2 linked regions of the Drosophila melanogaster genome follow. The gene in region 2 interacts genetically with the main gene of each other region. Each region holds a gene or a part of one and is shown on either strand. Other genes may lie near its edges.

Evidence for each region. A genetic interaction does not mean that the proteins touch.
Region 1: of corto (region 2) and Trl, changing one enhances a phenotype caused by changing the other (phenotypic enhancement), as found in Drosophila melanogaster (one study listed by BioGRID).

Annotation. Positions count from the first base shown.
Region 1 is NT_037436.4:14,756,164-14,759,919, reverse strand, and holds the start of Trl (Trithorax-like), read left to right. Parts: upstream 1-1,957; 5' UTR 1,958-2,078; exon of another isoform or gene 2,079-2,436; intron 2,437-2,583; exon of another isoform or gene 2,584-2,589; 5' UTR 2,590-2,824; coding exon 2,825-3,016; intron 3,017-3,756. UniProt on the Drosophila melanogaster protein: Transcriptional activator that functions by regulating chromatin structure. Overcomes the repressive effects of chromatin by promoting the open chromatin conformation in promoter gene regions, thereby allowing access to other transcription factors.
Region 2 is NT_033777.3:5,085,268-5,089,023, forward strand, and holds the start of corto (corto), read right to left. Parts: upstream 1,806-3,756; 5' UTR 759-1,805; coding exon 1-758. UniProt on the Drosophila melanogaster protein: Essential protein required for proper condensation of mitotic chromosomes and progression through mitosis. Binds to specific polytene chromosome sites, many of which are shared with the posterior sex combs (Psc) protein.

The DNA.
Region 1 (3,756 bases), on a different chromosome or scaffold from region 2:
AATGAGGTTATAATTCGATGGCCCCCATCAAACGCCAGAGCACACATACATACATATGTATGTACATACATCTATAGGCAAGCGGCGATAGGCAAATAAGTCGCATACATTTGCGTATTTGTTTTCAACAAATTTGTGCTGAATTCTTCATGTTTTGCGTTCGTTTCAAGTATATTCAGTTTTTTTTAATAGAAACAACGTGATAAGGCGCGGTGGGGAAGGCCAGGCAAAAGTCGTGCCGCGCCGTTCGAATTTCAAACAGTCGAGCTGGCGCACGGTGGGACAAAAGCGTTGTTTAAAAGTTTTAATGTTTTAAAGTTTCATACATTTTAATAAAATACAAAAATTTAATTTGAAAATCTTTAACTAACGTACGGCCAAACGCACTATAAAAACTAGCCAATGGAAAAAATAGTCCAGTAACGCTTATACAATTTGTTTACAAAAACCAGTTATACAATGTATTCCAAAATTTTACATAGTAATTCTATTCCTACCACTTATGTTTTGTATCCCACTGTGCTTGGTTTGCACTCATTCCTCCACCTCTGCCGAGTCACCCACCACCAACACCCCCCAGCGCGCACGCTCTCCCTCATTCTCACATCATGCTCCGTTGGTTGGTATTGCCAGCTACGAAACATGAAACATGCTCACTGCTTTAACGCCGATTGGAACTTTAAAGGGGCATTTCGAACGGCATTTCTCATGGCCCCTTCCCTGCCCAGCAGCATCATAACAGAGAAAATTGTAATCTTAAAAATTTGGACACTCGCTCACTTTATATTACTTTCTTCTCTGAGCGTTGGCTAGAAGTGCCACTCTCCTTCTCCTTCAATTCCAAATTCGACTAACTTCCCTATCGCGGGGTCTCTCCGCTCTTAAGCTGGACTTGATCTGCATACGAGAATGAGACTGGCTATATGTTTTTACCCCGTAGGGTCTCGGTCTCTGAGATGTGTCAAAAGTAACAGGTGATTGGATTGGATTCGAAAGGAGAGAGGAGAGTTAGAGACAGGGGAAAGAGAATGTAGAGCGTAAGAGCGAACCGGCTTTTCTACCATTTGTTATTATTACTTTCACAGGATCTGTTAATATTTCGGAACCGAAGAGAAACCCAGTCCCGATACATGTCTATTTTAATCTAAACCTATCAGATTCTTTTGATTCCTGTGTAACCCTCAGTAGCATTACACTTGTTCCCAGAAAAATGGAATCTGGTATCTTAAAAAGAAAACTGAAAGTAATTTATTCTGAACCCAATACCCTTCTAGATTTTGGTGATCAAACATAATAAATTGTTAGATTAGGGACTCGTTCTACGAAAATCTGCTTATCGATTTAATCATAGCTAATGTTGGAATTTATTTTTAATACAATTGCTCGATACCTTAGCTAGAATAATTCAAAAACGTTCTGAATTGTTTATCCTTCATTTTTAAACTGTAAAATTTGAGCTTATTCAGAGTGGAGTAGTATAAGAAAATGTTGAATATTTTGATACCGGATCCGATAGTTATAGAACCGGAACCTACGGATCCCGTTGACCTTTTTCTTATCGCACTCTGATATTCCAACCGGTCGGACACATGTGTTTTTCATCCGTGAAGTCGGCCCAGAATATTTCCATCATTCAATATTTACCACCTTTTATAGTTTTGTTTACTATCTTGCCGACTTTTTTGTCTTGCCGTCTTGCTCTCCTCTCCATCCTAAAAATACTCTTCCTGCGCTCCATCTGGCAATGCCGCTCGACAACTGTACTTCAAAGAGCGTTGCCAGGCAGGTCACTTCTCTCATAGATACACAGATACAGGCGCGCACGCACACCAGCACGCAAAATAACCACCACCAGCAGTACAGAAATTACACATTTTCTCCCCGAGTAGAGAACTGAAAAACTGGCCGCGCTGGCAGCGCCGGAGCAGCGAAATTCGATCGAAACCATTTACTCAGTCTCAGTTCGAGTTATCCAACGTTGGCGAGCGGACAAACAAGCAGGAGAAAAAAGCGTACGGGCAAGAGAAAGAGAAGGCACAAAATCACCCACAGCCACTGAAATTTTCTTTTGCGCTCCGGTGAGAAGATAATTTCACAAACCAAAACCGAACCAACAAACAAAAAAAGTGCGCTCCGTGAGCGGGAAAACAATAACAAAATCAAGAGACATGCGATTATAAAACGAACAAAATAACTGAGTGACAAAAAAAAATTAAATGCGTGTCTCATGGCTTGACTGTACTGTGTATTAAAAAATGTGATTGTGTCGGCTGTCCGTCTGTCTGAGTTTGTGCGCGTGTGTGTGCTGTTGGCGTTTTTAAATGTGGCGCGCTATTTTTGTGTGATTTTTGTGGGCAGCAACGAATTTTGAAACATCAATTGTATACTAGTTGTCAGTCCCCTTGTGAAAAAGTCTTCTCCAACAACAAAATTCCTGTGAGCAGCCTACACACATGCGTTGTCTCGCTCTCGCGCGCTCTGGCCCCCAAAGAGTGCGAGAGCGGGAGAGTGAGACCGAGAAAGAGAGAGAGAGAGAGAGAGCTAATAACTAACGTCTGTACTCTTTTTCTTTTCCATTTTTCATTTCAGTTTCGAGAAAGCAGCGCGCCAAGCAGCAAGAAGAGGAAGAGCAAAGGGAGTTGGAAAAGCAGTGGCGTCGTGGAGGAGGAGTAGAAAGGGGATTTTTGCGAAAAATCCCAACTTGAAGAGAATTTTCCCCGTAACCGTTAAACATTAAATCGTCGTGTTGGAGACAAATAGCAGCGAATACGCTAGCAACGCTGGGGAGGAACAACAATTGTTGGATTTGGACGCGACCGCTTTGATGTCGCTGCCAATGAATTCGCTGTATTCGCTCACCTGGGGCGATTACGGCACCAGCCTCGTATCGGCAATCCAATTGTTGCGCTGCCATGGCGACCTCGTCGATTGCACGTTGGCCGCCGGCGGGCGGAGTTTTCCCGCCCACAAGATAGTCCTGTGCGCCGCCTCCCCCTTTCTGCTGGACTTGCTAAAGGTAAGTGCTCGGTTCGGAAACACTGCCTAAAACACCTTTCAATAAGAGAGCTTGTACATAACCTCAAACGTTTCGTACAGTTTGTAAACAGAGAAATCCAATCGCAGAAATAGGTTAATGTTTGGAGCGCAGAGAAACTGACACTCGCACGCAAATGCATACATATGTATAAATAACGCAGATTTACGCTCCGCTCCAAAAGTTGTCTAGAGATTTTTGTACAAGTTTTCCACTGTCAATTGAGTTGAATGAGTGGCTCCGCCCCCCGCATTCCCGCCGTCTATCTTGCTTATCAGCTTTTTCTTGTTGCAAAGTTCACCGGAGAACGAGAGAGTGAGACGTAGAGACAGAGCGCAGACAGAGAGGGAGAGAGCGAGAGAACCAGTTGGTTCGGTCGACAGAAAAGTGGTTTTGGGCCCGGTGGTGTAACAGAGAGGGGAGAGCCGAAAGCTGGTGCGCCAACTTTTAAATCGCATGTGTTAGAGCGAGCGCAAACGAGAGCGCCAAAAGCAGCGCGGCAACTGTTGTAGTTGTTGGATGGTTGGAGCTTTCGTCTTGCCTTTTGGTTCTTGCTGTTGTTGGGTGCACACGAGCGCGACCTCTTTCTTCACAGACAGAACTGTACAGTTGGCTCTGGCTAGGGGGAACTTGAAATATTGGGGGGAATATGGATACATATACAAAGATAATTAAAATTAAATTTGTATTGATTGGTTTGATTTCCTTAACCCATTTCCTAA
Region 2 (3,756 bases):
TGGTAGCGTTGCTGCTGTTGTTGCTGCTGCTGGGCGCTCGTAGCCGCCCGGGCTCCACGCCGCGCGGCACTACTGCTGGGCGCCGTGGCCACCGCCGCACCGCTTCCGCCTCCGCCCAGGGCCGCTCCGCTGCTCAGCGAGCTGCTGCTCACCGCCCGCGCGGTCGCATGCATGTTGTTCACGAACGGGCTGCGCCGCTGCGACTCCATCTTGCGGAAGTAGCACGGGTGGATCATCAGCAGGGGCTCCACTCTCTGGCCCGCCGGCGGCTTGGGCTGGTTGGGCAGCTCGTACTCCACGCTGCAGTCCACGTGCAGCGGGATGCTGTAGTCCTTCTGCGGCGATGGAGCGGGGGCTGCGTTGCTGTTGCTGCTGGCAGTCTGCTGCTGCTGCTGCTGCTGTTGCTGCTGTTGTTGCTGTTGTTGTTGTTGTCTGCTGTTGGCAACCGCGGCGGCGACCTGCGTTTGGGTCGCCGCCGCATGGCTGTGGCGCGAGTTGCTGCTGCTGCTGGTGTTGGCGGGCTGGTGGTGATGGCGGTGGTGTTGCTGCTGCTGCTGCTGTTGCAGCAACTGCTGCTGGTGGGCAGCCACGGCGGCGTGGTACATGTGTTGCTGCTGCTGCTGGTGATGATGCTGCTGCTGCGTCTGGCTGTGCTGCTGCTGTTGCTGCTGCTGTTGCTGCTGCAGGGCGGACAGGGCCGACATGCCGTGCGACAGGGACGACATGTCGTAGTTGGCATAACAGGCGGCCATCGTCATTGCTGTATTCAGGGGATCTTTTAGCTTTTGCTCTCGTTTCGGTAACACAGAATTCGCTTTTGGTTTGCTTATTTACTTAGATTTAGATTTTTATCATTTTGCGGATGTTTTTCGCTTTCTTCACTTTCGAAAAAATTCACTTTTGTGGTTTTATTGGCACTGGTAATCCAAAAAGAGCGGCTAACGGTAAATTTGCCGCTGCAGGTAATCCGTGAGTTGGTTGTTGCTTTTGTTTTTGTGTTTTGAGATAGGAGGAACCTTAATCCATATGTGTGTTTGCTTTGCTTTGGAATTCGCTTTAACCCGTATAATATTAGCTGCTGTTCGCGTGTTTAACTTTGTTTCGTTACGTTTATTGTATATTTATTAGCGTTTTAGTCAGTCTTTGTTTGGTTTTACATAAATGCAGCGAACAGTTGGAGCTGCTGGGTGAGTGTGAGTGCGAGTGGGTGCGCGTGTCGGGGTGAGTGAACAATCCACGTGTGTTTTCAGTCTTTTTGCCCGTTTTTGCTGGCTAACTTAACCGTTGCTTTTTAGCTACTCCTTGTCTTCTTTCCATTCGGTTATGCTCTGTTCTGTTCTTTTCTCGCGGGGGTGAGTTCGCGGAGTAGGTAACTTGTTAGTTCTATGCGCAATAGAACTGCCGAACGAACGTCTCATCCACTCCGAAGAAAAACGCGATCTGAATTGTAGTTTCTGCTTTGTAGTTTTGCTGCCGCCGCTTGCTTCTCTGCCGCGGTCTCTGCCGACGTTTGTAAGCGCAGCGAGTATGCTGAATACGGAGCGCGCACGAAAAACAGCTGTTGGCTAGACGCCTACGCCTGTGTGTAGGCTTTGCTTTTATTGTTTTTGTTGATTGTCTGCCGATTTACTTATTTTTCGTATCACAATTGGCTGCGTTGCGTTTGTTTTTGGGTTTTAACTGCGTGTTCACCTTCGACGCGACGTTGAATCTTCTTAACTCTCTTCTTCGTTAATTACGTGCCACAGACCACGCTTTATCTCCTCCTATGTCCGCACGAATCGAGCTCTTTGAAGCGACTGACTCGAAACGTCGTCTTCGCTCCATTCTGCCGACGCCTACCTGCTGTTCGGCACAGCTGATGTTCCGTGACGTATTCAGCACACACACAGTCGCAGGAGACGAGCGCAGAGTTATTGTTATTGTTGCTTTCCTATATAAATTGCATTCAATGGCCGCTCTCTCTCCCTCTCTGTGACCGCTCTCTCTGTGCCTGCGTGTGTGTGTGTGGTATACATTCAGCCATGTTACTACACGGCGGCCATCTTTACAACTGCTTTGGTCGAGACAGAGAGAGACAAAGAGGCGAGAAAAGAGCGAGAGAGCGCACATTATTTTGTAATACGATGTCTTTAACCGTTTTAGTGCTTTAATTTTTTACGGCAAACGCATTTTTGGGAGCAGCTTTATGGGGTCGTAAAAGCAGATGGGTTCTAAAGGGGTTAACGGCGAGTTGAGAGCTAATTGAGCCGCACTAAAAACGGGGAGTTGAATGAATCTATCAGCATCACCTGGTTAAAATGGGAATGGGTTATTTTTACTTATGTATTTCTGAGCACTTTGGTACACCCCTAAAACTTAAAACCCATATAATATCAACATAAGCAGTGTGATCTCCACACAACTGCCTAAAAATCCTCTGCGACGCAACTTCGAACACACCTACGTAGTTCCTTAATATAAGAATACAACAAATACCCCAAGAACCTCTCCGGTTTTGGAATACGAAAGCTAAACTGCGCACTGAGAGACTTTCTGCAGACCAAAAAAGGAAAACAAATTGCAAAAACTCAAACAGACAGCGATATTAAACATTTCTGTACTAAAAAATGGGCAATTTAAGTCAGGAAAGGGCACTGTCTCGCTCGCACACACACAGCGAGAGAGCGAGAGAGAGTGAGAAAACGGCTGGGAATTACACACATTGTAATAAATAAGGAAGGTCGTTGCCATAGCAGCCGCCGTTGGCGTCGTTTTTTTCCCCCCATTTTGTTGTTGCTGCAAGAGAGTGGCTCGCTCTGTGGGGCTCATTCAGCAACTGCTGATAACAAATCAGCTGTTTTGTTATTTGGGGAGGTGTGTCCGCGTGCGAGTGTGTTGGTGAGTCTGGCTGTCTCTCTTGGTACATATTTGTTTTTTTTTTTCTCAAAGCATATGTTTGTTGGAATCGCTGTTGCAGCTGTTGTTGTTGTGGGGCTGAAAGTTGTTGCTGTCAAGTTGCCATTGCATTTCAGTGTTGTTGCTATTCGATGTGCAAGTAAAATGAAAACCTATGTGGCGGATTTGCATTGAAGCATGTCTTTTAATCCAAAAAGTAAAACTAATGCTTCTTATTGTCTACTAAAAACTAATAATTCGTATTATGTGCTAATTATTCTAAGACTCTTAAGAAAGAACATGATTGGTGCATGTATACAAGTTAATGGATACTATTGTTTGATAGCCTTAATGATTTCCTGCTTTTCTACTGTTGTTGCCATGGTTTTGTTAATGAATTGTCTTCATTGCATCTGGGATTGTGGATGGTTTTTGGAGTCTGGTTTGGGTTAATATCGACACTATAGTGTTGTAGCTTTATGCCGACTTTTATGGTGCTGTCGCTGCTGCTTTTAAGCCTTTTCTTTATTGGTGCTTCCGCCGTATTATTTGTATGGGTTTTGGATCTGATGTAGCTGCCAGCTTTGCACTCGTGCGTCCCTTTGTGTGCTTATTTCTGCTCTGCTGTGCTGTTTTTTTGCAGCTTTTTTCTGCCTTTGGTTGCTTTCTGGATTGATGTTGCTGCCGTGATGTTGCTGCTTGCGTGCTTAATGACGAGTCGGCCGCATTACAGTTTGATTACGGGCCGCCAATTTGGAAATTACCGAACTGCTTGAATTAGCGGGCCAGTCGCTCTGCTGGAGAGCCTATGGCTCAACCCCAACCCAAGCGAACGGCCAGAACGAACAAAAACGGGCAGCAGGAAATTGGTCAAGAGGG